3 linked regions of the Rattus norvegicus genome follow. Each later gene encodes a partner of the first gene's protein in a complex. Links are inferred from orthologs where the notes say so. Each region holds a gene or a part of one and is shown on either strand. Other genes may lie near its edges. The genes, in order: Ywhaz, Stk11 and Cftr.

Region 1 (9,829 bases):
CCCCACCCCCAATAAAAGTCCACTTTCATTGTTGAGGGAGTAAGAGGAAGAATGTGGGGGATGTGGCTGAGAATGGAAGCTACATTAGCGTTTTTGTTATGATAAACTTTGCATTCAAAATTGGTAAAAGCCCGTTAGCTGCCAAGAGGGAATAAGGAGAACAATTTCCTTTAGAGAAGTCTCAAAACCGAAAGACTGATCTACATGGAAAGCTGTAGAGAAAAGTAGTTGAAAAGTCCATTCATAAAACTTTTATTCCACTTACATGAACTTTAATACATGTGTTCTTAACAATTATGCTTGGATTGTTCATGAAAATTTCATAAGACATTAAAACAAAGCTAGCCGTCATCTCAAGTTATTTCCCTGTTAACTATTTTTACAGCACATGCATGTTAGGCAAGTATCAAAAAGAGAAAAAAAATCACAAAAGCAAAAACAAAACAAAACAAAAAACTTAAAAAAAAAAGTTAAATACATGGGATTTTGTTTACCGCTGTGCTTGATCCGCATGGAGCCGGGAACACCAAGCAACTCGTTTGTACTGCATCTTTACTTTTACATTTGTTCTTAGATTGCCTAAAACATTTAAATACAAATAAAATGTGTAGCAAAAATAATGAAAGCAAACAGCAGGTAACTTTACAAATAATGGAATGTGAACCGTTTCTGCCCTTATCAGAGTAAATTGGGTCACAACTTTGTCTACAGACAACTTCTGGAGCTGTGGTCAAGGGTGTGCACGCAGACACACGGTCTTAGCGTGCATCCACAGGGTGTTCGTGTCCCAGCCTCACAAGTGCTCCAAGCCTTACAGTACCCACACAGACTACACTCATGACTGGACCCATTATCCTGTTTATTCCCCGCCAGCACACACCAATATGTAGGCAGTTTTCTTTGCTTAGACATGGAAGCAGTTTGAACACTGGCCCTTCTGAAGCCACAATGGACCAAAAGTACTAACTATGCCAAACATGTGTAACTCATGTAAAAATTCCACATCCCATATTGGCCACCTCAAGATGAAAACGAGTAACTCCCTAAAGTTAACTGGCTCTACTCCCCTAATATTAAAACATAAAACCACATGGGAAATATAGAAATTCAAATAGAAGTAACATAAACCTGTCATAAATCGTAAACAAAAAAACTATCTGTGGGACAGCATGGATGACAAATGGTCTACTGTGTAAATTTTAGAATGAGGCAGACAAAGGTTGGAAGGCCGGTTAATTTTCCCCTCCTTCTCCCGCTTCTGCTTCGTCTCCTTGGGTATCCGATGTCCACAACTGGTAAAGAAAGGGAAAAGATTTTTTTCAGCATACTTCAGATGGAGAAACAAAACCAGCATCCAACCTTCTGTACACATGTTAAGGGTGGGTCTGGCCTGTGACTACATGCTTTAGTCAGAAAGCTTGGGGCATCACTGAAGGACAGCCTGACCCGGGGAATGGCAGATACACAGCACATCTGTCTGTCTTTCAACAGAACAGATTTAAGTAACTAATGGGCAGGAAGTGGAAATCTCAGTCTTTTAGACAAGGTGGCTTAGTCACTAAGCCATAAATGGCTTGCCCAGCCTCAGCCCCAAACCCACCGTAGAGCCTAATGCAGAGCCAGCCAGTCCTCTCACTTCTGACTCTCAAATATGTAAAACCAAAGCTCTAATGCCAATGGTTTTTAGAGTGTTTTCCAGAAAGATCTCACTCTTGGAGCTGGGTGAGCTGGCCTCTCCTGACAATGTCCCAGACCCAAAACAAACCTAACAAATGTTATGGACAGAAGCAAATATTCTACCAAAAAGAAGAAAGGTGTCGTAGGATGGCAGGATTATGGTTTTCATTATTAACTTCTCATTACTGTTATAGTGTTTCAATAAGCTAATACAGTTCTAAATAGTCCCAACTGTTTCCAGGTAAAATATTTTAAGCCAAACTTAAAAAGGAGAAAAAAGGAATCTACCCTCTAACCTAATATATTCTCCCCAAATCACCTTCCACACTTGGCCTAGAACAGACTCAAAGTCACACATAGCTGGCCAGGTATCTTCTTCCAGACTGTGTGCTTACGAATAGGACAACAGTCTCCTGTCTGTTCCCTCCTTGTCCTTTAATGGTTTTACATTTTGTGTATAAACCTTACACACTACAATCAGGATAGTCTCTTGTGAGGCACTGGCTGTGTCAGCTGGGTGTCACGCTGTCAACAGCAGTCTAACAAGGCTCAGGGCAGAGCTGCTCCTTGACCTTCTCACTCTGCTTAGGACACTCTTTCCTGCACTCACCCCATAATTCCAATGGATGAGAGGAGCATTCAATCAGGAGCCCCTAAAAGTAGTGACACACCTAGGCCTAAGGTCTACTTTAAATACCACCTCATCACTTCAACGCAAGCCTAGACAACATGTAAGACTTAGTGCTAGTTTTCTTCTTGCTTTGCCTAGAATTTGTATTTCTCCTGCCTAAGCTTCCCACCAACTAAAATAACAGCTGTGTGTCACCATGCTCAGCAAGTAAAATAAATTTTTAGCTTACTGAGGACCATAATCAAGGTCTTACACACCGCAGGTAAGCACTTTTCCAACAGCTACACTCACCCCCCCCCATATATTCTTACAATTAGAAATTAGCTAACGAATCAAGTGCTTCATATTTGACGTCTTTTCTTTCCTTTGGGCAGGATGCAGCTCAGTGGTATTCACCTAGTGTATAGAAGGCCCAAATCCCACCTCCAGCATGCACAGCAAGTCAATTCCATATTAACCCTTGCTTATTTTTAAGTCTCTTAAGTTTGTAGACAACCCCAGTTAGAGTTAGTAAAATAATTTTAGCTACAGACTTTAACAGGAAGTAAAACACATAAAGAATGGACAAGTCTCTTAGACAAATTGAACACACACAGAAAAGTAGCCCATAGACCAGAGACACTCATTTCTACCTTTTCCCCGAAACACAGCAAATGCTGGGTAACTTTTTCACCCAAGCCTCAAAACTTCAAATTACTACTCATCTGAAGAAGGAAAAACCCAAGAAGCCAACCATAAGCATGGCTTTATTGGGATCCTATTTAAATAATAAATAACCATTTAAATGAATTTTCAAGAACTGTTGTTTTAGTTTGGTTAAGACAATGGTATATATGGGGTTCATGTTCAAACCTTCAGCACAGCAGAGCATCAACCCCACCTTTCCCTGGGCTAGAGACCAGGCAAGCAAGGGGTGCACTTGTTCCCACCAAACATGCACAACACTAAAGGACAAGAAAACCAACTTCAAAGACAAGTTAGACACCAATAGTAGCAAGTTTACTTTTTTTGTTGTTGGGTTTTTGTTTTTTGGAGATAGAATCTTGTCATGTAGCCTAGGCAAGCTTGTCACTAAGTAGTCCAGGCTAGCCTGTAACTAACTCATGATTCTTCCTCCACCACAAGAAACCTGGATACTTCTGCTGAGTAAGCACATGACTGACTCTGGGGTGAAAAAAATGAAACTACTCAAGACTTGAAACAGAAAGGAGTAACTTAGGATAAGTTAAGCCCAAAAGGTATCTATCTCTCATAAGTACTGGCAATGTTCTCAATAAGGTAGTTTTCTTCTTGGTAAGCTTGTAAACAGTAGATAGGACGCTATATTCAGTTATCTGGCCACACCCTTCAGACTGTCTTAGGTACTCACTGTCAAGTTGTCTCTCAGTAACTGCATTATTAGCGTGCTGTCTTTGTACGACTCTTCACTTAATGTATCAAGTTCAGCAATGGCTTCATCAAAAGCCTACAAATGCAAAACAAAGTACACCTTAGAATTCAAATAATGAACACTGCCCAATTCCCAAGTAACAGGTAAAATACATACTGTTTTTGCAAGAGAGCAGGCTTTCTCTGGGGAGTTCAGGATCTCATAGTAGAACACAGAGAAGTTGAGGGCCAGACCCAGTCTGATGGGGTGTGTCGGCTGCATCTCCTTTTTGCTGATTTCAAATGCTTCTTGGTATGCTTGCTGTGACTGGTCCACAATTCCTAGATAATGCAACACAGTGAAATGGACTTTCAAATTCTATGCTGCAGCTTAAGCCAAACTTTTCATTTAAGATTGCATGTGTCCTCTGAAATATACGCTCTGACAGTCTTATCCAAATTATACTCTTTAAAACAAACAATGCTGTCCTGGATCACACTAGTCACTCGCTGTTGTCAAGAGAAAAGCAACTCAGAGTGGAGCTGAGTTGAAATGATAACTCTGAGGCAAAGAACACTGGCTACTTTTCCCAGTCTGGTTTGATTCCCAGCACCCTAGGGACAGCTTACAACAGTCTGTAACTGCAATTCCGGGGGATCCAATCGCGCTGCTCTGACCTACAACAGTATCGGACACATGTGCCCAAACACATGCAGGCAAACACTCATACACACATCCATCTGATCACCATCTTGTGATTTCCTCATTCTACTCTGAGGTTAACCTCTGTTAACATCGAGGAGACATTCTTATACAAACAGCTTTTCAGAAAGCTTCAAGTTCAAAATACTAACAGGCAAAAACACAAGACAAAAAGAAAGAGTGCTCAGTTCTCTAAGTAACATAACAGAAAAGAAGATGTATATAAGCTCAACCAAGCAAAACCAGCTCACCTTTCTTGTCATCACCAGCAGCAACCTCAGCCAAGTAGCGGTAGTAGTCACCCTTCATTTTCAAATAGAAGACTTTGCTTTCTGGCTGCGAAGCATTGGGGATCAAGAACTTTTCCAAAAGAGACTTCAGAAGAAAAGAAACAGAAATATTAAGACAATACTTACAAATCAAAGTAAAGTATTTTTCTTAAGCAAACACTATAGACTCAGTTGTAAAAGATTTCAAAACAAAACCTTAGTTTTTCTAACAGCACAGCATTCTAGAGTGCTGGTGCAGGAGGACTGTGGTGGATGAGGACCAAGCTCGACTGCAAACCAATGCTGTCTCAAAAGTGTAGTAAATCAATAAGCAACTCAAGGCAGGGAAAGGCCAGATGAAAAAAAAACACTTGTTAATTTCAGCATAGCAATTGGTCTTATCTACAGATCATCACAAATGGTAAAATTTCATCCTGTAGCTTTGCTTAAAACTATTAACAACTTAAAGCTTACTGGAATTGTCACACACCAAATAAAACCAACCTTTTATAGCTAATTTCAAGTAGATGATGTAACTGCATTGGAGAGAAAAAGGTAGAACTGAGTGAATTTAAAAACAAACCAGTCTCTTACCATACCCACTCCCTTGGATACCTCTGCTTTGAAATCAAGGTGATGTTCCTGCTCATCTGGGCTGAACCCCAGATGAGCCAATTCTTCCAAGAGTACTTAGATTCTGGTTTTTATTCTCTGAAAAGATTTGAGTATCTATTATCTAATGATGGGGGACATAAGTGAATACACTTGAATCCTGCTGCCTACTCTATGAATGTAGACAGGTCATAAAGATACAGTTAACTGAGTGACCACCCCTCATAAAGTACATGATTGGCAGCTGGCGTGGGCACCTTTGTAATCTCATCACTTAAAGGCAACACAGAAGCATTCTGAGTTCAAGCATAGATTGTACTACTCATGGAGAGACCCTGCCTCTAAAAACAACCCCCCCCCAACAATAACACACTACCCAAAGGGCTAGAAACGTGTCTCAGTGACCTTGCACTGGCCCAGCAAAGCCACAGAATCAACTTGAGTGTGTGGAGGGTGCAATGTAAAAACCTAAAGTTATGACAGAAACTCCTTTAGGCAGTATTGATAAATGTTAGTGGGAATTAGCAACCTACTTTTTATCAGTAATTTCTGTATTCCTAGAAACCACGCTGAGCAGGGCTGTGGCCACACATCTTTAATCTAGCACTGGAGAAGCAGAGGAGCCAGTTCGTGAGCTCCAGGTGAGTGTAGCTAGAGCCAAGTGTCAGGACAATCAGAGCTACAGAGACCTCTGAAAAACCAAACCAAACCAACCCCCCCACCTTACTGAAGATTGCAGGAACAGACCCAACAGCAATCCCTCAGCCTCAACACTGAAGTGACTCACTTCATTAATTTTCAGAGTGCCAACCAAGTAACCACAATGTCTAAACCTCTCTTAAAAGGACCCCATGAACAAAACCATCTAGTTGGATGCACACCCACATTTTCTGGGGATAATCACAGGCTTCCAGAACCATGAGTTTTTCATTTAAACCAACAGCAGCCAAAAACATCTGAAAAAGTCACTTTCAACTTATAACAGGTCCACCACATGTATGGGGCCTGGGAATCTACTCATGTCAGTGACAGCAGCATCTCCCCATCTTCCTTACAGAAAAAGCCGTCAACACAGGGGTTACAGTAACTTCCTAGTTCCAAGGACTATACAATCTTTTTTATTTAAAAACTGTGAGCACATAGCAGTAAAGGATTCAATGAATCCTGCCTTGTCTTGCTTCCTGATAAGGAAGTTTAGCTGTTATTTTTGGACAGTAAGTGCTGATGTTCAAAACAGCAGTGAGGATAGCAAGAGCTCAGCTTGGCAGTCAGGAAGCTCTTCCAGAGGACCCAAGCTCAATTCCCAGAACCCACATGGCAGCTCCTTAACTTTTGCAACTTGTGTTTTAGGGGAATCTGGCCACCCTTGTCACCCTTGTCCACCAGGCATGTACATGGTGTAACCACATGCATAAAAAACAAAACAGCCCACACAGAAAACAAGAAGACAGTAGACAATAATGCTGATTGCTTTGACTGGAAAGAGTTATGGCTGCACAGGATGACGAGTGAAGAATGACTCCCAAGTGCGGGCACATCACTGTTAATGCCTGTAACTTTGTAGAAACGCACTATACACTGCTCACCTTAAAATACAGCAACTGTTTATACTGTCCACCCTCTTCAAAAAGAACAGGAAATAATTTGTACTAAAATACTTTTCAATACTAACATATTCTTCCTAAACCTATTTTTTTAAATAAGCGCATGAGTTCCACTTACATCGTGTCTACTTCTAAAGGTTTTAGTTTGAGGAGAACAAGGACTTATCCTTTCTTTGGTCGCCAGGGACTAGTGAACACTGAACATAAATACAGAATAGACTGCAAGGTAGAGAAAATGGCAGGGCTGAGTTTGTTTTTTCTCTTGGAGTAGGTACAATTATTAAAACAATTTTACACCTTTTCACTTTCACACAGTCAATTTTGTTTCTCGAGCTACAACCTCAATACTGTCCAGGTGTAAACCGGAATTCATGGGCTTAAGTGATCATGCCCCAGTCCTACAGTAGTTATGGTAGTAGGACCTCATGGTTTTTAATCTTATAAGCTACACAACAATAACAAACCCCCAAATCCATTATGCTGCCTGCTTCTAAGATGCTCAAATAAAGTTCTGACTGAATTACAATGAATGCATACTTTCAACAGCCTACTTTAAATAAAAAGAGAATTTTACAACAACCTTCAGTAGAACAATTTTTATGACCTTAGTGCCTTAAAGACCCACTTCTCAAATATAAAAATAAACGAAGCTCACTATTTAACTTTTAGACAATTAAGATACAATATAAACTAAGGCTGACACTATCAGATAATTAGTAGTTTCCTAAGACAAAAAAAAAAAAAATCTGTGTTTCTGATGCTGAGTGCTCGCCAGGACGACACACACGCGGTGCCGGGCAAGCACCCGTGATAGGAGCAGCAGCCACAGAGCAGTGTCTGCCCACCTGCCTGAGCCAAGGGAACTCACTCTAGAGCAACAAAGGCCAGTGAGAACTGGCCATTGAGGCAGTACAAGGATCACTCTTCACTCACCCGGTTTCACTGCAACATTAACTTCAGTTTGCTTTCCATTTTAATCCCAGAAGTGTCCCCAATATGCTAAGTGGTCCCCAATATGCTAAGTGTTCCCCAATCTATCATCAACCTTCAGATTTCCTAGATATTTGAGAGTACATTTCCTCCTCTGACTTTAAGAAAGCCTGAAGTATCTAACTAAGAATTACAAAAGTAAACCAAATCAAAGGACAGTGTACCAGGAAACGGGGGAAAGACCAAAACCATGAAAAGCAGATGGAAAAGCTGCCCAACTAAAGGACAGTGATTCAAGGGTGTAAGGGAACAGAATTCTGGAACCATCTGATAAGAACAGTGGTCCAATGTCGTATTTAAGAAAAACCTGTAAGTAAACAATTTGGTTGGATTCCCGGTTAAAACCATAAAAACAGGCTGGAGAGATGGCACAGTACCTAAGAATGCTGGCCGCTCTTCCAGACTGCCAAGGCTCCCCATAGGGCAGTTCTCATCCATCTGTAACTCCAGTCCCCAGGGGATCTAGTACCTTCCTTTGGCCTCCAAGGGCACCAGGCACCCACTCAGTGAACGGACACACACTTGGACAAAACACGAATATACTTAAAAAATTTAAGAGCAGGTAAGATGGTTAAAGGCCTTGTGCCAAGACTGGTGACATGATTTTAATGCTTAAGACCCCCCACCCCAAGAAGGAAAACTGACTCCAGTAAAGAAGTGTCCTGTGGTTTAGGTGCAAATGTATTTCAAATTCCAGAGGCAGCACAGAAGCAGTGATGCATGAGTAAACATGGGGAGACAGCTCTCGCTTTCTACACTTAGAACAAGCACTGCATCAATTGCAGGAGGGTAACAGATTGGTGCTTGTGCCTATAGCCCTAGCACTTGGGAGGAAGACTGCGCCAAGTGTGAGACTGGCCTGAGCTTTGGCATGAATTGTACCCTATTTCAAAAAACAGAGATCTGGGCATAAGTGCCAACACTTGGGAGGTAGAGACAGGACTACAACTTCAAATCCAGTGTGCACTATCCAAGACTAGTCATACACACAGCTACATGCACCCTCACAATGATCCTAAAACTAATGAACTAAACTCTGAAAATGCAGCTCAACTGTAATGTGACTCCAAAACCCACTCCTCTACTTTAGTGTATCGCCACATCACTCAATGACACCAAAACACCCCCAGAGAGGAGGACATGGTGCACATTCCTAGTCTTGGGCAATTCTTTCCCACGTAAAGTTTCCCCAGTACTTTATTCTGTAGACCTACAGAATTTACCATCATTTCTAGTTCTCTTAAAATATATAACAGAAAGCTAAGCCATGAATTTAACAGGCTTGCTGCTTCTGAGTTTAGTCTCTTACTCCCCCTTGTGGCTGAAGGGGCACTTGTTCCCAAATTGTAACCAGGGTTGCTCCAAACTAACCAATTAGTGAAGTGCTCACAAAACATGCTAATGATGCTTCCTATGGCAACACTGAGTGTTGTGTGTGAGGTCACATGGACACAGCTACCTTTAAAGGGCGGATGTGAGGATATGGAGAGTGATGAGGGTGATCACCTCCAATGCAGTCCCAGCAATAAGCACATGGCAGACCTTTATTTAATGTCTTAAAACCAACAAGAGAGCTGATACATTAATAATCCCTTGGGCTGCACCCTAAAATACCATAAATGGCAGTCTATGCCAAAAATTTAATAAGCAAACCATCTTTACAAAATTTAATGCTTGATGGAATGCATTTTTTGCTTTGACCAGTTGGGAGAGGGGAGACAGCACAGCATTGCCATCATCTGTTCAGGAAGGCATTACCCCTGTAACTCGGGGAAAACAGAATGGGGAGGAACTACTGTTTAACAACCCTGGGGGAGCTTTGCACTTAGGTAGGATTTCTATTTAAGGCCAGCCTGGGCTACAGAATGAGAGCCTGCCTCAAAATAACTAACCAACCATCAGGCAAATGCCACACCCAAACTGTAACTGCTAATCAATATAGATAACAATCAGGCACCAATTCACCAGTTGTTGA
Region 2 (10,530 bases), about 60 Mb from region 1:
AAGGACAAGCAGCTCAACTAAGCATGATCCATACTGCCAGGACCCAGCTTTTGGCAGCAGGGCCCTCAGCCCTAACCACTGGAGGGCCAGCAGGAGCCACCACCTTAGTGGACTGAAAGAACGCAGGCACAGCTGGCCATCCATAACCTGCAACTAGCAAAGAGCAAGCAAATGGTGATGCCATGGCTGGCCTCAGCCCATGTGCAGAGCAGGAGGAAGCTTGAGGCCCAGAGCTTAAGATCAAGCATTCCGACAAGACCCTGCCTTACAGAAGAAAACTAAATGCCTTACATGATGGTGCCCAGCCATCAGCCCACTGCTCAGGAGACACTGACTGGGTCATCCACAACTACATAGCAAGCTGGAGACCAGCCTGGCCTACATGAGACATCTCTAAGGACTCAAAACATGGCTCGGTGATTAAGAATGTCTTTGGCTCTTGCAGAGAACCTGGGTTCAGTTGCGAGTACCATGTTAGTCAGCTCCCAAGTCCCGCTCCTGCAGCTGATGCTCTTCAGGCCTCCCCAGGCACATGCATCCCCAACCACCAGCCTCTATACGCACACATGCATAAAAGCAAATCCAAATGGTTAGGCAGTGGTGGCCGGACACCTGTCACACCAGCACGCTGGAGGCAGTATATCTTATAAGTTCCAGGCCAGCCTGGGCTACAGAGTGAGCTCCAGGACAGCCAGGGCTACACAGCCTGGGGTGGAGGTGGGGGTGGGGTGGGGCTGGGGGTGCCAGGAGTGAGGGACAAATCTAAAAAAGGAAGACATCAACAACAAAAAACAAAAAATACAAGAAAACAAGAACATAAACAAGAAGCAAACGAGGCTGGAGAGAGCTCAGTGGGTAAGAGCACACTGGCTGCTCTTCCAGAGGTCCTGAGTTCAAGTCCCAGCAACCACATGATGACTCACAACCATCTGTAATGGGATCTGATGCCCTCTTCTGGTGTGTCTGAAGACAGGGACAGTGTGCTTATATATAATAAGTAAATTTTTAAAAACGAAACAAAAAACAAAAAGAGCAAATGTACAAAAGCGTTCTCCTGGGTCACGGTGAGGGCGTCAGGTGGCCAGTTCTCACCTAGGTCTGTGCCTTCCACTGCAGCATGCAGACACGAGGCTGGAAGAGCCTCACCCGCCATCTTCTGGGGTGGCTTTCCAACTTGTCCCATCTGGAGGATCTCAGAAGTCTATGCACAAGCAACAAGGCCCATGCACCCAGGGGGTTCACACGGCCCCCCCTCCCCAGGTAAGGCAGAGCAGAACAACCATAGCACTCTTGAGGGGGGTGGGGTTAAAGCCACAGCTGCAGAGCCAGCAGGTCAGCAGCAACTCCAGCTCTCCCCTTGGCTGGTATAAGAACTTGCTACTTAAGGCTGGAGAGGTGGATCAGCGGCCAAGAGGACTTGGCTACTCTTCCAAGGACCTGGGTTCAGTTCCCACAGAGCAGCTCACAACGGTCTCTAACTCCTGTTCCAGGGAATCTGACACAGATGTCTATGCAGGCAAAACAGCAACGTACATTAAAAAATAAAAATAAACATTAAAAAAAAAAGATCTTGGGGCTGGAGAGATGGCTCAGCGGTTAAGAGCACCCGACTACTCCTCCAGAGGTCCTGAGTTCAATTCCCAGCAACCACATGGTGGCTCACAACCATCTGTAATGAGATCTGATGCCCTTCTCTGGTGTGTCTGAAGACAGCTACAGTGTACTCATATAGAATAAATGAATAAATCTTAAAAAAAAAAAAAAAAGATCTTGCTACTTCTCACGGGTGGATGAGTGTGTGTGTGTGTGACAGGAACCAAAGTGCACAGGTCCCTTCAGCCTTCACAGAAACGAAGGCGCCACACTACTCCACTGGTCCTGAGAGGAGAAAGCTCTGTGTGCAGACTGGATGACAGGACCCCAGGGGCTTGGCTGGAAAGTTCCAGACACTTCACCACAAGAGAGAGACAACATGAGTGCAGTCTATTAAGCTCCTACAGACAAAGGGGCCTTTCTGCCTGCACCAGCTGTCGCCAAGCTGCCCCTTCCATGCTGTGGCTCTGTGCACACCAGCAGGTGCCCGCAACCTTAGGGTTCCCACTGCACGAGTCACTCAGGCAGTGGGTAACACCAGCACTCCCCTAGAAACACCTGGCTTTGTGTCCTGCCATTCAAGGACCTCAGAGCAGGGCAGTTTGCCAGTCCGAAGCTTTTGCCTCAGTTTCTCCTCCTGGCTTTTATCTTTCCTGCCCATGTGTGTGTACGTGTGTGTGTGCCACAGCACACATATGGAGGTCAAAGCAAACTTGTAGGAGCTGGGTCTGCTTTCACCTTCCAGACTTTGGGGCACTTACCTACTGAGCATCCTACCAACCCGTTTTCCTCATGAAACCAAGTTTTCCCATGCATCTGGCTGGTCTACAAACAGAAGCAATGTTCCTCCCTCAGTCTCTCTAGCACTATGACGACTGCATGTACCCATTTGCCCAGACCAACTCCTGGCTTGAGGAACAGTGCAGGCTCCTTATAGCACCCTACTGACGTCCAGTGGGCTGTGTCCAGCGTCTCTCTAAGCCCACACTGTCACTGCTGTACTTCCCCAAAGCGGCCACTTGCCTGGGAGGTCAGCAGTCACCACCCAGAGAGGAGCAGCCTATGGCACCTCCATCTTACAGACAAATTTTCCAACCAGGTTTTCCCCAGCTCAGGCCTCCGAACTCACTGAAGGCACACCTGACGCTGGGTCCCCACGGTTCCCCAGTGCAAGACTAACCTAGGACCACTCCTACAAAGAAGGCAAAGCAGGGGGGCTGGGGATCTAGCTCAGCGGTAGAGCGCTTGCCTAGCGAGCACAAGGCCCTGGGTTCCGTCCCCAGCTCCGGAAAAAAAAAAAAAAAAAAAAAGTCGGGCTGGAGAGATGGCTCAGCGGTTAGGAGCACTGACTGCTCTTCCAGAGGTCCCGAGTTCAAATCCCAGCAACCACATGGTGACTCACAACCACCTGTAATGGGATCTGATGCCCTTCTCTGGTGTGTCTGAAGACAGCTACAGTGTACACACATACATGAAATAAATAAATAAATAAATATTTAAAAAAAAAAAAAAGGCAAAGCAGATCCTGAGGACACCCCCCACCCGCCTGGCTCCACCGCTGGGTCCACACATCGGTTCCTGAGTATCTGCCTGCCTTCCTGTGGGTACCACTCAGAACAGTGCACAGCTGGCAAAAGCAAGAAGCTGCCAGACAGCCTTTCCTGGGACAGGACCACAGGCAAGGTCAGTTTGACAGCGCGTCGCCAATGCAGGCCCCAAAGATAAGGCCCCTTCTCGGAAGCCGGTAGGTGAAGTTTCCCAAGTTCCGCCAAGCCGGGCAGGCGATAAAGAGTCCCCACGGCCCAGCAATGCCAACTAGGCAGGATATTGCAGGGGCCCGGGCCAGCACTGGCTGGCTACCCACCCCCTTTCACCCCAAATCACCATTATTTTTGGCCCTGCCGGTTCCCTCTGTGTAAACAAACGAGCCACCCGCCTGGCAACGCCCGCCAAAGAAGGCAGGCCTGACTTGAGCCAGGACCTGGCCCAAAGAGGAGGGCTGGAGGCACAGTCGGCCACACGACCTCCCGCTAGGACAGTCCTACCGGCTGCCCCAGCACACAGACCCCCGAGGTGACGCTCAGGGAGAGATTGGGTAGATAAGATAGTGAAAGGAAAGGGGAGGAAAAGAGAAGGGAACGAAGGTTAGAGGAAAGTGAAGAGCCAAAAAGTGGAGGAAGGGCTGCCCAAGGAGTTCAAGGCAGCAGCACCCACGTCGGCCCCAGGCCCTTGGCACCTACTTCTTGACGTTGGCCTCGCCATTGGGGATCCTGCGCAGCTTTTTCTTCTTGAGGATCTTGACCGCCCTGCGGCATAAGGTCTCGGAGTCCAGCACCTCCTTCACCTTGCCGTACGAGCCCTCCCCGAGCAGGTCCCCCATCAGGTACTTGCCGATGAGCTTGGCGCGCTTGCGGCGCGGCTGGTAGATCACCTCGGTGGAGTCGATGCGGTGGATGAAGGTGTCCATGCCCACCGACATTAGCTCGCCCTCGGGGAACAGGCCCAACGGCTGGGGGTCAGCCACGTCCATCCTGGCCCACTCTTTGTCCTCGTCCCCTTCGGGAGCGCCAATTCTTTTCAAGTTCAAATTTCCCCCACCCGCTTCTTCCAAATGTTCAAGAAGGGGAAAAAAAGGAATGGGGGGGGGGGAAGGAACGACCTCCACAACCCTCCCGGTCCCCACAACCGGGTCCACGTCCGTTTCCTGGGCGCCAATTCTTCACTTTTGATTTTCCCCTTTTCTTCTAGGTGCTCAGGGAGAAAAAAAATGAAAATAAGAATAAAAAAAAAAAAAGCAATGAGCCCCCCCAACCCTCGCGTCCCCCTAATTCGGGTCCCCGGGGACGCTGCTTCCGACGGAGGCGACGGTCCGCCGTCGCGGCGCGCGGGCCGCTAGGTCATGGTCGCCACTTGGGCCCCGCGCTCAGGGGCCCAGGCGGCCGCGTCGAGGACGGTCCGCTCCGTCCATGTCCGGCCCGCGCCGACGCCGCGCGCGGCCCCTTAGTTCCCTTAGTTCCACGACTTCTCGGTGCGCAAACTCCACCCGGACGCGGGACACCCACAAGTCGCGGGCACGAAGTCGGGACAGGAAATCTTCGGGGGACCAATGGGGGGAGAAAACCACCCGGGGCGGCGCGTCCCCCTCGCCGCCTAGCCGCCGCGTGACAGGCAGGAGGCCGGAGCGGCGAGGGGGGAGTCGAACTTCAGGCAGAAAGATGCTGTCCGCGAGAGAAAACTCCACGCCGACACCGCCCTCGGAGGCTCGCGCCTCACTCGCGGGCGCTGTGAGCCGCCTCCCCTTTCCTAGACCGACACGCCGCCGCCATCTTGTTTACCGCCCTGCGCCGCGCCGTCGTCGCACGTCTCAACGGTGGACACGCCCCCTCGCGGAGCCGACGTGCGCGGCAGTTGGCTGTAGCTTTAAACCCCACCCCTCGAACCCGCCGCAATCACCAACGCGGATTGGACTATTTGGATCTGGGTGGGCACCCGAGCTGACATTGGACAGCTCGGGTTCCACTTGTGAAGGCGTGATCTACATTCTCATTGGTAGTCTCAGACGCCGGTCAATGGGAGTTGGAGTAAGCAAGTGACTGTAAGGGAGCGGCCGTGGGCTGTGGCTTCAAGCCCCGCCCCTCGGCAGTTGGTTGGTGTGTGTGGGCGGGATCTTATCTGTAAGTGGCTGTCCTAGACGCCCGTCGGCAAGTGCGACTGGCCAGCGAAATCTCTGGGCTGCCGGTGGTGACCTCGGAGTTTCGTGCCTCGGGTTAGAGTTCACGCGCGTCAACGTCCTCTGGGAACAGCCGCGACTGGAGGCATGGTGCGGGGGGTGGGGGTGGGGGGAAGAAAGGGACTCCTGGATACCTAAAGTGATCTAGCCACTGCTTGTTCTTAACGGCCTTGGGGGCGGAGTCAAAGGTCAAATAGTAGCCCAAATTTGACACTTCGGAACCTGGAGCCACTGAGATCAGTGTGGGGATAGACCCAAGCTGGTGCCATAGAGAGGAGCGTTTCGTGTGCAAAATAAGAGCCGCTGGGCTGGTGAGATGGCTCAGCGGCTGCGTACGATTGACGTCAAGTCTGACCGCATGAGTTCGAACCCCGTAAATTCACAAGGTGGACAGCAAGAAATGCCTCTCACAGTTTGTCTCTGATCCTAAACGCTCCGTGGCAGGCGCGCGCGTACACACACAACACACAGAGTTTTAAATAACAGTTGTCAAAAAAAGTGGCTGGGTAGGCTGAAGAGGTGGCTCAGTGGTTAAGAACACTGACTGCTTTCCTAAGGGTCCTGAGTTCAATTCCCGGAAACCACATAGTGGCTCGCATCTCATCTGTAATGAGATCTGATGCCCTCTTCTGGTGTGTCTGAAGACAGTGACAGTGTACTCACATACATAAAATAAATAAGAAAATCTTTTTTTTTAAAGGTGTCTGGGGGCTGGAGAGATGGCTCAGAGGTTAAGAGCATGGACTGCTCTTCCAGAGGTCCTGAGTTCAATTCCCAGCAACCACGTGGTGGCTCACAACCATCTGTAAAGAGATCTGATACCCTCTTCTGGTATGTCTGAAGACAGCTACAGTGTACTTGTATATGATAAATAAATAAATCTTTTAAAAAAAATAAAAGGTGTCTGGGTTGGGGATTTAGCTCAGCGGTAGAGCGCTTGCCTAGGAAGCGCAAGGCCCTGGGTTCGGTCCCCAGCTCCGAAAAAAAGAAAAAAGAAAAAAAAAATGTCTGGGTAAGATTGATGTGGCCGCTGGCCTCATCTCAACTGTGTTGCAGTATTTTGGGGTGGTTTGGGTTTTGGTCACTTTCCTATAAAAATTTAACTTGTTTACTTTTATAGGCGTGTCCTTTTTTAACTGCATGTATGAAAATGAGGGTTGTGATATGATTGAACGGCTAGTGCTCACCCTGCGCGACTCCCCTCCACACACTATTCAAACGCGGGTTACAAGGTCCATAGATCCGTGAATCTACGGTTCCCTCTGAGGCCACCAGGGGGCGGGGTGGACTGCCAGAAGGCCAGTCCTGGAGTAAGGAGACATAAGGGACAGAGACGCCACTAGGGGTGGGCAAAAGGCCTTGGTGGTCAAGCTCAACCGACCTCCATTCAAACCCCAGGACTTACATGGAGGAAGGAGAACTGACTCATGCTAGCACATAAATTAAGGAAAAAAAGATCAGAGAAACAGATCTGAAGACAAGTTGAGGGAAAACACAGGCTAGACAAACAGAAAAAAAAGCAGAGCAGGGTCAGAGGTGAGGAGCACTGGTGCTCTTTCAGAGAAGCCACATGGTGGCTCATATGCACTTCTGTTGGATTCAGTACCCTCCTCTGGCCTCAGAAGACACATGGTGCCATACACACATGCAGTCAAAACACTCATACACATGAAAATTGAACTTAAGAAACTAACAAAGCGCTGGAGAGATGGCTCAGCGGTTAAGAGCATCGACTGCTCTTCCAGAGGCCCTGAGTTCGAATCCCGACAACCACATGGTGGCTCACAACCATCTGTAATGAGACCTGATGCCCTCTTCTAGTGAGTCTGAAATATGTGTGTACTCACATAAATGAAATAAATAAATCTTTTAAAAAATTTCACGAAAAAGGAAGGAGAGACAAAGATGAAGGAAACAGCTGGAGGGAATATCGTTCCCCCACCTCCAGAGCTGCAGCCCAAGCAGCTCCTCACAGGGAGACTCTCTGGATTTTCACCTTCCATTGCATGGCAACAATAAGTAAGTCTCTTTTTTTTTTTTCGGAGCTGGGGACCGAACCCAGGGCCTTGCGCTTCCTAGAATAAGTAAGTCTCAAACACCTACACCTACACCCTTCACCTGACAGACACTAAGGCATCCTGGGAGCTTTAGGGGCAATAAGCATCATCCTGGTCCCCACCCATTCTGAACCTGGAGCTCCCGGAGTGGGACAGCCACACCTGACCAAGATGTTACCCTGAATTCTCTAAGAAGAGTCATCACTCTGGTGAGAACTCTGGGTCAGAGACATAGATATATTTAGAGGTTTATTGTATTTACGTACATATATGAGAGAGAGAGAGAGAGAGAGAGAGAGAGAGAGAGTGTGTGTGTGTGTGTGTGTGTGTGTGTGTGTCTGTTCGTGCACACGCATCACATTCAGGACCTCACAGAGGCCTCAGATCCCCTGGAGCTGGAGTTATAAAGAGTTGTGGCCAGCGGGAACCGAACCCGTGAGTTCTGGTAGTGCAGCTACTTTATAAATTTGGGAACTCAGTACCACTTCAATAATATGACTTTCCCCTCAGAAGTAGCAGATTACAGACCATGGAAGCACATCAGAAATGGCACTGGGACCACATGGTGGCTCACAACCATCTGTAACGATATCTGATGCCCTCTTCTGGTGTGTCTGAAGGCAGCTACAGTGTACTCATATATAATAAATAAATAAAAATTAAAAAAAAGATATAAAAAAAAAAAGAAATGGCACTGGGGGAGGTAATGCCACCAGGAAGAAAAAACCTGCAGATTCCACATCAAGCCTGCAGCCGGCTCAGTGGGTAGGGCACAGTTTGACGGGTCAGGATCCCTGCTTCCATCCCTGGTACCACATAAACCACACTAGCAGTACTGTCATCTGGATCTATCCTCAACTACATAGTGAGTTCAGGCCAGCCTGGGCTACATAGTGATACTTTGTCTGCATTAGTCAGGTTCTCTAGAGCCACAGAGCTTCTGAAATGTCTCTATACAGAAATCTGTTACGAGGACTTACGGGTACTCCAACTCTCCAGCAATCGTCAGCTGAGAAGCAGAGTCCAAGGATCTAGTAATTCTCAGTCCCACAAGGCTGGTAGATTCCAACAGATGTGCTGGCAAGTAAAAAGAGTCTTCCTTCTTCCAATGTCCTTCTGTAGGTCTCCGGCGGAAGGTGTGGCCCAGATTAAGGTGTGCACCACCATGCTTGGGACTTCCTTTGTCCCAGGCTGACCTTGAACTCAGAGATCCTCTTGCTCAGTCTCCTGGGATTAAAGGTGTGTACCACCTTGCCTGGACCTAAGCTTTTCATGGCCACTATGCCTCAAGTTCTCCATGCCAAGATTAGGTCAGAAACTTGTGTCTTCCTGCCTCAAGGTCTGGATCACAGGTGAGCCCTCCAATTCTGGATTTTTAGTTTATTCCAGATATAGTCAAGTTGACAACCAGGAATAGCCATTACAAGTCTCTAAAGAGGGGGGAAAACATAAAAATAAAAATATAAAAACTGGGCTGGAGAGATGGCTCAGCGGTTAAGAGCACTGACTGCTCTTCCAGAGGTCCCGAGTTCAATTTCCAGCAACCACATGGTGGCTCACAACCATCTGTAATGGGATCCGATGCCCTCTTCTGGTGTGTCTGAGGATAGCTACAGTGTACTTATATATAATAAATAAATCTTTTTAAAAATATATATAAAAACTTGGGTTGGGGATTTAGCTCAGTGGTAGAGCGCTTGCCTAGGAAGCACAAGGCCCTGGGTTCAGTCCCCAGCTCCGGAAAAAAAAAAAAAAAAAAAAAAAAAAAAACTTGGCCAGAAGTGGTGGTTCAAGTCTTTAACCCCAGCACTTGGGAGGCAGAGGCGGGGACAGAGGCAGGTGGCTCTCTGACTTCAAGGCAAGCTTGGACTGCAGAGGGCAAGAGTGTCTCAAGAAGAAAAAAGAAGACACTCCAATAAATGTTTGGATAATTTGAGCCAAAACACCCACCGGAAACTGTCCGGTGAAAACCTCTAGACTCTCTGGACTGTAGTGGTACACACATTTTTTTTTAAAATATTTCTTAGGGGCTGGGGATTTAGCTCAGTGGTAGAGCGCTTACCTAGGAAGCGCAAGGCCCTGGGTTCGGTCCCCAGCTCCGAAAAAAAGAATAAAAAAAAAAAATTTCTTATATACAGATTTCTGCCTGCATGTAAGCCTCCAGGCCAGAAGAGGGCATTGGATCCCATTACAGATGGCTGTGAGCCTCCACCTGGTTGCTGGGAACTGAACTAGGACCTCTGGAAGAGCAGTCAGCGCTCTTAACCACTGAGCCATCTCTCCAGCCAGGTACATACTTTTAATCCCAGAACTCAGGAGGCAGATCTCTGAGTTCAAGGCCAGTCTGATCTTACAAAGTAAGTTCTAGGACAACCAGAGCTACACAGAGAAACAAACAATAGCACTGTATGCACATATGAAAACCTCAAAAAATATTAAATTACAAATCAAGTCCAGTGTCATGGTGAAGCACTCTTTTTTTCCCCCCTCTTAGTTTTTTAAGACAAGGTTTCTCCAAGGAGTCCTGGCTGTCCGAAAACAACTCACTCTGGGCTGGAGAGATGGCTCAGCGGTTAGGAGCACTGACTGCTCTTCCAGAGGTCCTGAGTTCGATTCCCAGCAACCACATGGTGGCTCACAACCATCTGTGATGGAATCCGATGCCCTCTTCTGGTGTGTGTGAAGACAGCTACCGTGTAATCACATAAATAAATATTAAAAATAAATAAATAAACCTTTAAAAAAAAAAAAAACCTCACTCTGTAGACCAGGCTGGCCTTGAACTCAGAGATCCACCTGTCTCTGCCTCCTGAGTGCTGAGATTCAAGGTGTGCACACCACACCCAGCTGTAATGCAAACTTTTAACCTCGCCAATAGCGAAGCAGAGGGAGGCAGAGGTCAGTGGGTCTCTGTGAATTTGGGGTGACTCACAACTACTTCCTGTAACTCCATCTTAAGTGGGGTGTGGCTCTGACTCCCTCTCCTCGAGTGCCAGGAGGTCAATGCCTTCTTGGTTACCTCAGGACTTCATGCAAGTGGTGCACATACGTTGCTAGGCAAACGCTCACAGATACGAAAGCAGACGAATAGAATGCCAGCAGCTCGAGAGGGTCAGGACGCGCCTCAGAAGCAGGTGGATGAGTGGGGGC
Region 3 (10,530 bases), on another chromosome or scaffold:
GACTTCTGGGGGAATCCCTATCCCTGAACTCAAGCAGTATTACACAGCAATAGTGATAAAAACTGCATGGTATTGGTACAGAGACAGACAGATAGACCAATGGAATAGAATTGAAGACCCAGAAATGAACCCACACACCTATGGGCACTTGATTTTTGACAAATGAGCCAAAACCATCCAATGGAAAAAAGATAGCATTTTCAACAAATGGTGCTGGTTCAACTGGAGGTCAGCATGTAGAAGAATGCAGATCGATCCATTCTTATCACCCTGTACAAAGCTTAAGTCCAAGTGGATCAAGGACCTCCAAATCAAACCAGATATACTCAAACTAATAGAAGAAAAAGTGGGGAAGCATCTCGAACACATGGGCACTGGAGAAAATTTCCTGAACAAAACACCAATGGCTTATGCTCTAAGATCAAGAATCGACAAATGGGATCTCATAAAACTGCAAAGCTTCTGTAAGGCAAAGGACACTGTGGTTAGGACAAAACGGCAACCAACAGATTGGGAAAAGATCTTTACCAATCCTACAATAGATAGAGGCCTTATATCCAAAATATACAAAGAACTCAAGAAGTTAGACCGCAGGGAGACAAATAACCCTATTAAAAATGGGGTTCAGAGGTAAACAAAGAATTCACAGCTGAGGAATGCTGAATGGCTGAGAAACACCTAAAGAAATGTTCAACATCTTTAGTCATAAGGGAAATGCAAATCAAAACAACCCTGAGATTTCACCTCACACCAATCAGAATGGCTAAGATCAAAAACTCATTTGACAGCAAATGCTGGTGAGGATGTGGAGAAAGAGGAACACTCCTCCATTGTTCGTGAGATTGCAGACTGGTACAACCATTCTGGAAATCAGTCTGGAGGTTCCTCAGAAAATTGGACACTGAACTACCTGAGGACCCAGCTATACCTCTCTTGGGCATACAACCCAAAAGATGCCCCAACAAATAACAAAGACACGTGCTTCACTATGCTCATAGCAGCCTTATTTATAATAGCGAGAAGCTGGAAAGACCCCAGATGCCCTTCAACACAGGAATCGATACAGAAAATGTGGTACATCTACATAATGGAATATTACTCAGCTATCAAAAAAATGACTTTATGAAATTCATAGGCAAATGGAGGGTTCTGGAAAATATCATCCTGAGTGAGGTAACCCAATCTCAGAAAAACACACATGGCATGCACTCATTGATAAGTGGCTATTAGCCCAAATGTTTGAATTGCCCTAGGTGCACAGAATACATGAAACTCAAGACGGATGATCAAAATGCGAATGCTTCACTCCTTCTTTAAAAGGGGACCAAGCATACCCTTGGCAGGGAATAGGGAGGCAAAGATTAAAACAGAGGCAGAAGGAACACCCATTCAGAGCCTGCCCCACATGTGGCCCATACATATACAGCCACCCAATTAGACAAGATGGGTGAAGTAAAGAAGTGCAGGCCGACAGGAGCCGGATGTAGATTTCTCCTGAGTGACACAGCCACAATACAGCAAATACATATGTGAATGCCAACAGCAAACCACTGGCCTAAGCACGGGACCCCCGTTGAAGGAATCAGAGAAAGGCCTGGAAGAGCTTGAAGGGGCTGGAGACCCCATATGAACAACAATGCCAACCAACCAGAGCTTCCAGGGACTAAGCCACTACCCAAAGGCTATACATGGACTGACCCTGGGCTCCAACTGCATAGGCAGCAATGAATAGCCTAGTATGAGCACCAGTGTAAGGGGAAGCCCTTGGTCCAGCTAAGAGTGAACCTCCAGTGAACGTGATTGTTGGGGGGAGGGCGGTAATGGGGGAAGGATGGGGAGGGGAACACCCATATAGAAGGGTAGGGGGAGGTGTTAGGGGGATGTTGGCCCAGAAACTAGGAAAGGGAATAACAATCGAAATATAAATAGGAAATACTAATTAATTAAAAAGAAATACTCAAGTTAATAAAGATAAAAAAATGTTTCAACATTTGCTCCCCCTCCTATTTTATCAGAATGATTGTCCCATCATTTTAAGGGAATGTTAAATATCATCAATATGCAATACACATATATCTGTAGAGTTGATCACAATGAAGTCAATTTCAACAAGAAACAGTTATTAGAATCATGTAATCCTGGATTCCTGAAATGTGCTGAATACTAAACACAAAAGTAGTTTACAATTTCAAATAGCCGTCAACATCAAAAAATGATTAATTAATGGGCTATATAGAAATTGACCATTTGAAATTGACAAGCCTCATCTGAACTATTATAGTATTCTTCCGAAAAGCCTAAGTTCTCTGATAATCAAGCCCATGAAAAAGCCACTTTGTAATGCTGATTTTACACAGAGAAACCTACATGCTGCATTGATTCCATTCTTAAGAGCTGAAGGGAAGTGGCTAAAACACTGTTTCACACAGTGATGATGAACAATGTATTTATGAAATCCCTCTGTCAGTATCTCCAAACAAGTGGACCTCTTTCATAGTTTTTCCCTCTTAAACTCACTGCTTTGCAGGTACTTTGCTCTGAGGAAATGTACAAGATGCACGGGGAAGAGAGGATCAAAATGGCCCAAATTGCTGCTGACTCAGAGGTGTTTTTAAAGTCTCAACAAATAATGTCTAACTGCATGTTAAATGGTTAACGCCCTTCCCTTATGGTTTGGCAATCCTATACTTATCTATAGTTCTACCACAGTGAAATTACAGGTTCCTATAAAAGGACATTAACGGTAATAATATACTTTATGGTGATATTTATTTGTAGACCTCTTAAACAAGTTTTAACATTTAGGAATTATCACAGTAAGTCCAACTTCCATAAAGAAAACAAAAAGCCTTGACTTCCCCTGTGTATCAGTGTGTACTGAGTACTATTTCATTGCTACATCAAACAACATGTTGATGAAGTTATTTTAAAATAATTATAGCTTCCTCTGCTCTGAGGAGCAATGGATTGACTATTAAAAGTATATTGTGTATTAACGTGCTATAAAACCTTGGAAGAGATTTTAATAATTGTGATATCAACTAAAATAAATTTCACTGTATAGGGATATTTATTACACATACACACCCATATATACTACATACACAAAATGACAATTTCATCATGTTGTGTACAAGTGGTACTCTTAGAACTGTGCATTAAACTAAACAAAATTAACAAAAACCTAACATAAATCCCAAGTTGAAAATTCTAAGCTTTGTAATATTCAAACATGATCAGTGAAAAATAAACAGGAGTCCTAAGGGACTGGTACAGAGCTAACATTGGGCAGTGCTTGCCCACTGTCGAAACAGAGGGTCTCCATCCTAGATGTGGATTCTTCCAATTCTATCAAAGAAAAGCCAAATGATAGCATGGAACTCTGGAGCTGTAGCCACTGGATGGCATCCATCAACTAAACGGACAGCTATCCTGAGTTTTCTAAATACCATATCCTCAGTATATCAAAAGTGGCCTTTGGATTTGGATAACCTAAGTCTTAGCAAACGTAAGATAGTGTCTGTGCATGGATCAGAAAGAGAATGGAAATGTTGCTACCTAACTTGTTGAAACTGTTTATAGCTCAGTCAGTAAAGTAACATGCTTCCCAAGTATGAAAAGCTGAGTTCAATCCCAAGCACACATATGAGAAGGTGGGCAAGGTGACGACACATGATTACAATCTCATTGCTGCCAAGGCAAAGACAGTAACACTCCTTGGGTTCGCTGACAAGTTTGTCTAACAACTGGTGAAATTCAGGCCAATGAGAGACATGTCTCAAAGGAGATGATGGCTCTTCTGAGGATATCTTATACTGCACTCTGTGGGCATAAAAGCAAGCATGTGCATGTGCATGTGCATGTTCATGTGTGTACGCACACATGCATATGCTAACAGATACACAACAGGCATGATCTTTTTCTTAAAGCTATATGAAAATGCAAAGTTTCCAGAGCCCACTGCCCTGGACACTAAGCACACTGCCTAATCCAGTGGAGAAAAGGTTTTCACCCTTTGAAAAGTATAGTCCAGAAGGAAGTTTATAATCACTGACTGGTACTTAGCTAAATGTCAGCTCCTATAAATAGGAGGAACTAAACTCTTAAAAACACACCTATTCTTAAAGCAACTGATTATGAAATCATTTGGAGAACAGAAATGAGTATGTTCTTAACAAATTTCACAGCCATTATAATACATTTCCTTTCCAAATCTGCCTAAGAACATTTGTAAAGCACACTAAAATGTATTAGGTGGATTATAAAAACGGGAAATTTTTGAAACACTTTGATAAGTGAAAAATTTTGAAGTTTCTTAATACTTAGTGGGGGAAACACACAAGAGATATTCATTCTTCAGAAAACTTGCCTTTTCAGGCAGATTGACATTTAAGTTCCTCAATAAGCTCTGGTGAAAGTCTAAAGTTTATGTCAATTGACAATCTGATATTGTAAGTAGTAAGAAATTAGATCCAGGCTGATAAGCTAAATTTATAGACGAAGTAAGAAAAGGCACTACAAATATCCACTCTAAAGAGTAAAGAGGGACCTTCTCTCCCATCCACTGGGAGGAGCTCTCCTGTAGAAGCACTTGCCTCCCCTCAGTCCTGAGCTCTAGACCTGCAGAAAAAGGACTGAAGGCTGAGCCTTGCCTCGTACCCACACCACAGGGCACATTTAGAACATATTCCACATTTATGATACTTTAGTGTGCTGATTCACTGGGGGTGGGGTTGAGCCAGCTAAGGACCCATGAGAGAGCTGTTCTCTTCATTCATTCACACTACATGACTGAGTACAAGAAGCTCCACAGAGTACCTCATATACAAAGTGCTTAATACTTGCCTAGGTCTTCCAACTTCGATTCTAATTTTTTTTGGTAGGATAAGAGAACAATCTCCTAAGTATCAATTGAATATAGCGTCAGTGGCTAGAACCCTAGTCTCATATCCCCAGAGTAACTGAATTTTCAAATGCATTGCTTACAGTATTTCTTTCTAAAGTTAGGTATTTTAACTGACTTGCTCATTCTTAAAGAAGAATACTGTAACTGTACTAAGCATGTTAGTCTTACTCAATATTATAACAGCAAAAGTAAGTATAATTCCTTGATTTTTAAAAACCTGAGTCAATAAACGTTTTCCAAACACCTATTATATACAGGCGCGCCACCTGCAGACAAACTTTTCTGGGAGAAAACAATGGACCAATCTTAATGTTTTATTAAGTACATTTATGATGTATAACTGTTTTCAGGAAATTTAAAAAAATCTATTGCTCTGTTGCATATTTGGCTGTTGCAAGTCTGATTCCAGGTGCAAATATATATTTGTTCTCTGTTCCATCAGTTTTATTTCATTCTACAAAATACATAGTTCCTTTAAAGCAATGAATGACAACACACCTTTAAAGCAAAACAAAACTCAACAAAAATCTCTTCCTGTTTTCCCAAAGTCTGCCCGTATTTATTCCCTTCTCTGGCATGGGCACACGTGTCCCTGAAAGATCCTCTGGGCACCCTCTCACCTGAAGAAGAGTTTGGAGATAAAGCTGGCTTTCTCCAGAGGCGACTTCTGCATGATGTCTCCGTGGTGCACTAAGGTCTGTGTCCGGACAGGTTCAGGTTGGACTCGACTTCTGGATATCCAGGACCCGTTCAATGCTTTTGGCTCTTCCCTTTTACTCAGTCCTGAGGTGATGTCATTTGCTTCCAATTCCCCCCACCCACTCCGGTCCCACACACCTCCCCTTCCTTAGCCTTCTTCCCCCGCCTCCGCAGCCCAGGTTAAAGTCAGCACTGCCTAGCCCAGCCTCACAGTCACTGCTCTCCACGCCCCGCGTCCGCCCCGGGCCAGCGCTCCTTCCTCCAGCGCGCCCGCGCCTCCTGGCCCGCGCCTCCTTTACCTTGGCCTTTATTATCCGCGCCCGCCCTCCAGCGCCCCCCTCGTGCCTACCTTCACATGGTGGCCCCAGCAGTGGCTCAGACAGCGGGCCCGGGTAAACCATGGCCAATCTGCGGGACTTAGAATCCTTCTTACTTAGGAATAAAGACCAGTCACTGATTCCCTTAGCTTCCCGGAACCTTTCTCTTCCTTCTCCTTGTCCCTCTCTCTCCTCTCCCTCCTTCTCCTCCTTCCCCTCTCCTCCTCTTTCTCCTCCTTCACTTTTTTCTCTATCTCTTTCTCTCTCTCCTTCTCTTTGTCCTCCTTGATCTCTTTGTCCTCTTCCTCCCTCTTCTCTTCCCACTGCTCCCCTGCCTTCCTCTCTTTCTCCTCCCTCCTCTCTTTCTCCCCCTTCCTCTCTTTCTCTTCCTTCTCCAACTGAATCTTTCCCTTCACTTTGCTCTCCTTTTTCTTCTCTTTCTTCCTCCTTTCTTCCCCCTCCTCCTCCAGTTAACTTTTCCAGATCCATTTTGGAAAGGAGAGGAAAATGTGGCTCTTTGGTATCAAAGAGCACTCAAGAAGCTGCAAAGTTCCACCTCAGTAAGCCCTTCAAGAGCTGGACGAGACCTAAGCTCTGTTGACTGAAGGCTCCAGAGTAGACAAAGTGGCACAAACACCTATGAGGTGACACGCACATATGTCACAATTCCCTGATATGTCACAATTACAGCAAAAGTCCTACCAAGGAAAGGGAAGCCACTACTTTCCCGTATGAGCTACATGTGTATCATACATATATGTCACAATGCCCTGATATGTCATAACTTGACATATCAAAGTCCTCAAGGACAAAGGGAGCTACTCCTTTACCACTTCTCACTCAGGACCTGCTCAGTGTGGTGTGGTATTTCACCTTCAGAAGGCTTTTATGTGTGTGCTAGAGAATGACAAGAGGAGTCTAAACTAAATGACCCTCCTCTCATTTCCCCCTAGTTTTGTTAAGCAAAATATCTTGACTAAGACACTGAAAGGGACTCTGAGTCACTGAAGCAAAGGTGTCCTATTCACCTCAAGTTCTCTGAGAGAAAGTTCCCCAGGCTGTGGGCCTTCCTTCCCAGCTTTTGGTATGAGAAATGTGTGTCTAACACAAAACCCTGCTGGGCTATAAAGAGACAATACTTAAATAACTAAACCCTGCTGTGCCAAAGCAAGTGTAAATAGAGGTTTTTTTTCCTTTCATTGAAAATCGAACGTTCTTTTTATGCAGGCTGAGGCAGCACACATCTTTAACCCCAGAATTCAGCACTCAGGAGTCATAGGCAAGCAGAAGATCTCTGAGTTCAAGGCCAGTATGGTCTACAGAGCAAATTCCAGGACAGCCATGGCTACACAGAGAAACTCTGTCTTGAAAAACCAAAACCAAACAAACACAAAAAAAAAACAATTTTTTTCTCACACACTATATCCTGATTACTGTTTTTCCTCCCTCTACCCCTCCCAGTTCCTTCCCTCCTCCAGTTTCATCTGGATCATTCCCTTTCTGTCCATCATTAGGAAACAAACAGGCTTTTAAAGGACAATAATAAAATAAATAAGGTTAAGAAAACGTATTAGACTTAGACAAAACAAACAGAAAGGGGCCCAATAAAGGGCATAAGAAACAGAGACCAACTTGTTCAAACATTCAGGAATCCCACAAATACACTGAACTAGAAGCCATGATATACATACAGAGTATCTGGTGCAATCCCTCAACAGCCCCATGCTAGTTTCCCCAGTGTCTGTGAGTTCACATGACCTTGGGCATGTTGACTCAGAGGGCCTTGTTTGCATGGTTTTCTACCTTCTCTGGTCTATCCTTTTCTGCCCTCACTGCGGGGTTCCTAATCCCTGAAGGGAAGGGTTTGATAGGGCTATCCCACTAGGGCTGTTTGTTCCAAGGTTAGAGTTTGAGGGTTTTGAGGCCTGATTCTTGCCTCCCCACTATAAAAGCAAGGGAGTTTACTTATAAATTATCTGATTTTTAATTTGTGGACATCCAACTACAACACAAGTAAAACGTGTATTTCATAATACTTCTAAGACAAGAAAATACATTTAAATTAATGAATGATGTGGTCAAGAGGCCTACTTCCTGTATCTATACTAGCTTTTTTCCTTATCATGAAATAGTTGTAAAGACATTTAATTTAACAGCCAAACTTGATTTAAAGATAAAAAAATAGCAAAAAAGATAAAGTTTTTACAGATAGAAACTGCAGGAAGGCTTGTAGGCCTTCTAACCTGTCACTGTCAAGTGCTCTCCTTGCATTTTCCTCTCTCCATTATGACAAGAGAACTTGGAACTTGGTTCTCACTATTGACTTTTCCCATCCCTTTGACTGAACTTGATTTATCCTTCCCCACCCTCACCTGTTGTTTGTAAATGCTAGTGTGACCATCACAGATGATGCAGTTTCTGAAATGAATTTGTTATCAGTTCTTCCTTGTTTTCACCATCACATGACACTAAATGAAGAATTAAGTTTCAGAGATCATCAAAGCTGGCCAAACTGCATGACTCCAGGATATCTCAAGCTGCTTCCTCTTGAAAGGACAAGTGAAAAGTTATGAGTCCTTGCAGTTTCCAGGGACCTTCATCCAACAACCATGTTCATATATACTATTATGCCTATTTTGCCATTTCCAGGTAATGAAGCATTGGAGTAAATGTTGTTGGTAAATATTAGTGGATTCAAATTCAGATGTGATCCCAAACCTTCAGTCTCATCAGTGTGAAACATTAAGCAAATCTCCCACCATGTATTCCTGTTCTGCCACCAAACCTTTCTCCTCACATTAGTTTCATGAAGTCAAAACTTACACAGCTGTTCAATAAGATAGGAAAGCAGAAATCTACTGACCAAAAGGCCACGAGAGCTATATATCTTGAATAAATGTTATGTAAGTGGCATAATCCATTCTAGAGTATGTATACGTGAGCATAGGCAGGCCCTAGACTTTTATCATAAGGCATCACAGTCCAAACTTGTTTGGGCAGAAGATTTCAGCAAAGCAGACAAGTCTAAGTAAAATAAAGATATGATGTACATAATTTGTACCTAGGTACATGCCTGATACAAATGTGAAAATATATCAGAAAATACGTGCAGATATAGGTAAGATTGTGACTGAAGTTCTAAATGAGACTCTCAAAGGAAATCAACAGATCAGGATGAACATAAAAGGTGATACTAAGATATGATGATTTTTCTCTTCAAGATACTCAAATACTAATCATATCATCATATACCACTACAATAGCTTACATTCATTAGATATTTATCATATGTCATGAGTAAATTACAGGGTGAGATTTGGCTCTTAGGACATGTTCATGTACAGGTAACTAATACCCCATTCTGCAGAGGAAGAACCTGAAAAATAATGGTTTATTAATTCCCAAGTTAAGTTGCTTGGCTGATTGATAACAACACAGTGGCTTGGTGTGGTTCTCAGGACAGAGCATGGCATGGCTTGTCCCACATCCTCAGTCCTAGTCACAGTGTGATCAGCCAGTAATAATGAAAGAGCGAAATGGAAGGCGAAGCTAAGCAGTCTTTGTCTGCCCTGGGCCTTGATGATTGCACATCCATCTGCAGGACTGACTGGTGTTTTAGGAAGAGCTGTGCTTTAGTACAGATGAGTAATACTCACTCTCGTGGCATACCTTGAAGATACACTGAGAGGACTGCAAGAGGAAGCGAGGAAGGGTTGGTGAAAAGAAAGAAAAGAGGAAGAGGACAAAAGGAACCCATGTCTATTTGGCACCAACTACAGTGTGTGCCAGCCATGTGCCAGGCGCTTTCCACAAATGCCCTTAGCAATGTAAGCTTTCTGTCTATGCTTCTCTACTTGCTGGAAAATTGTCCACGTTTCCCCATTAGAGATCATAAGAGTGTGCTTACACTACATCCAACTCTGATCATCACATCCAACTTAGAGTATATCCGAATCTTTCCTGAGGGAGCTTTATCATAAATGGGTAGCAATCATGGATGCACTGAAATGTAGAAAGTAGAAGGATGAGAAAGTTCTTTCAGAGGAAGACAAGGCTCCCTAAAGAGAGAAGGCAGACCTCATTAGCCTCACATACACAGGATGGCTATGCTTAAAAACTTACCAAAGGTAGGAGGTAGGGGCAGTCTCAGCTCCTTCACACCTTGCCTCAAGGATCCCTCAGTGTGAATACATCATTGCAGACTTACAAAGCTGCTGCTTGGCCAGAGCGGATGCCCTGTTACAGAGCTAAGGCCAGTAGGGCATCCTCTACTTCCAACATCACATTTGGTCTGACAAATGTGTTTATAAACACTCATGAAAACACACACACACACACACACACACACACACACACACACAATCTGATATTCATATAGAACTTCCACAGAAATGGATACAAAAATAATGTCTTCTGGGGTATATTTTGTTTCTTTTTAACTCATTTTAAGTAATGCAGCAAGAACAACCAAGCAATCATTCTGTCTTGTAGTTACTGATCTAATAGATGAAACGACATCCTAAAGAGGGAATCTGAAGCTACTCAAGTATGAGTAGCTGCTGTTAAGCTTTCAGAAAATAGGAGCCTGATAGTATGGCTGATATACAG

The links.
Region 2: the proteins of Ywhaz (region 1) and Stk11 are in contact, whole or in part, in a crystal structure (PDB 5WXN), measured with the Homo sapiens proteins. The link is inferred for Rattus norvegicus from reciprocal best matches to the Homo sapiens genes YWHAZ and STK11. Residues at the interface, in NP_001129171.1 of Homo sapiens: Asn42, Ser45, Val46, Lys49, Asn50, Arg56, Arg60, Phe117, Lys120, Arg127, Tyr128, His164, Pro165, Ile166, Gly169, Leu172, Asn173, Val176, Tyr179, Glu180, Asp213, Ile217, Leu220, Asn224, Leu227, Trp228; in NP_000446.1 of Homo sapiens: Trp332, Arg333, Ser334, Met335, Thr336, Val337, Val338, Pro339, Tyr340, Leu341.
Region 3: the proteins of Ywhaz (region 1) and Cftr are in contact, whole or in part, in a crystal structure (PDB 5D2D), measured with the Homo sapiens proteins. The link is inferred for Rattus norvegicus from reciprocal best matches to the Homo sapiens genes YWHAZ and CFTR. Residues at the interface, in NP_001129171.1 of Homo sapiens: Asn38, Arg41, Asn42, Ser45, Val46, Lys49, Arg56, Arg60, Glu113, Phe117, Lys120, Arg127, Tyr128, Glu131, His164, Pro165, Ile166, Gly169, Leu172, Asn173, Val176, Glu180, Ile217, Leu220, Asp223, Asn224, Thr226, Leu227, Trp228; in NP_000483.3 of Homo sapiens: Arg764, Arg765, Arg766, Gln767, Ser768, Val769, Leu770, Asn771, Leu772, Met773, Thr774.

What each region holds. Positions count from the first base shown.
Region 1 is NC_086025.1:69,826,168-69,835,996, forward strand, and holds the end of Ywhaz (14-3-3 protein zeta/delta), read right to left. Parts: intron 4,755-9,829; coding exon 4,631-4,754; intron 4,019-4,630; coding exon 3,855-4,018; intron 3,774-3,854; coding exon 3,678-3,773; intron 1,293-3,677; coding exon 1,233-1,292; 3' UTR 237-1,232; downstream 1-236.
Region 2 is NC_086025.1:10,237,021-10,247,550, forward strand, and holds the start of Stk11 (serine/threonine-protein kinase STK11), read right to left. Parts: upstream 4,946-10,530; 5' UTR 4,124-4,945; coding exon 3,834-4,123; intron 1-3,833. UniProt on the Homo sapiens protein: Tumor suppressor serine/threonine-protein kinase that controls the activity of AMP-activated protein kinase (AMPK) family members, thereby playing a role in various processes such as cell metabolism, cell polarity, apoptosis and DNA damage response.
Region 3 is NC_086022.1:47,522,815-47,533,344, reverse strand, and holds the start of Cftr (cystic fibrosis transmembrane conductance regulator), read right to left. Parts: upstream 5,717-10,530; 5' UTR 5,690-5,716; coding exon of another isoform or gene 5,580-5,689; coding exon 5,527-5,579; intron 1-5,526. UniProt on the Homo sapiens protein: Epithelial ion channel that plays an important role in the regulation of epithelial ion and water transport and fluid homeostasis. Mediates the transport of chloride ions across the cell membrane.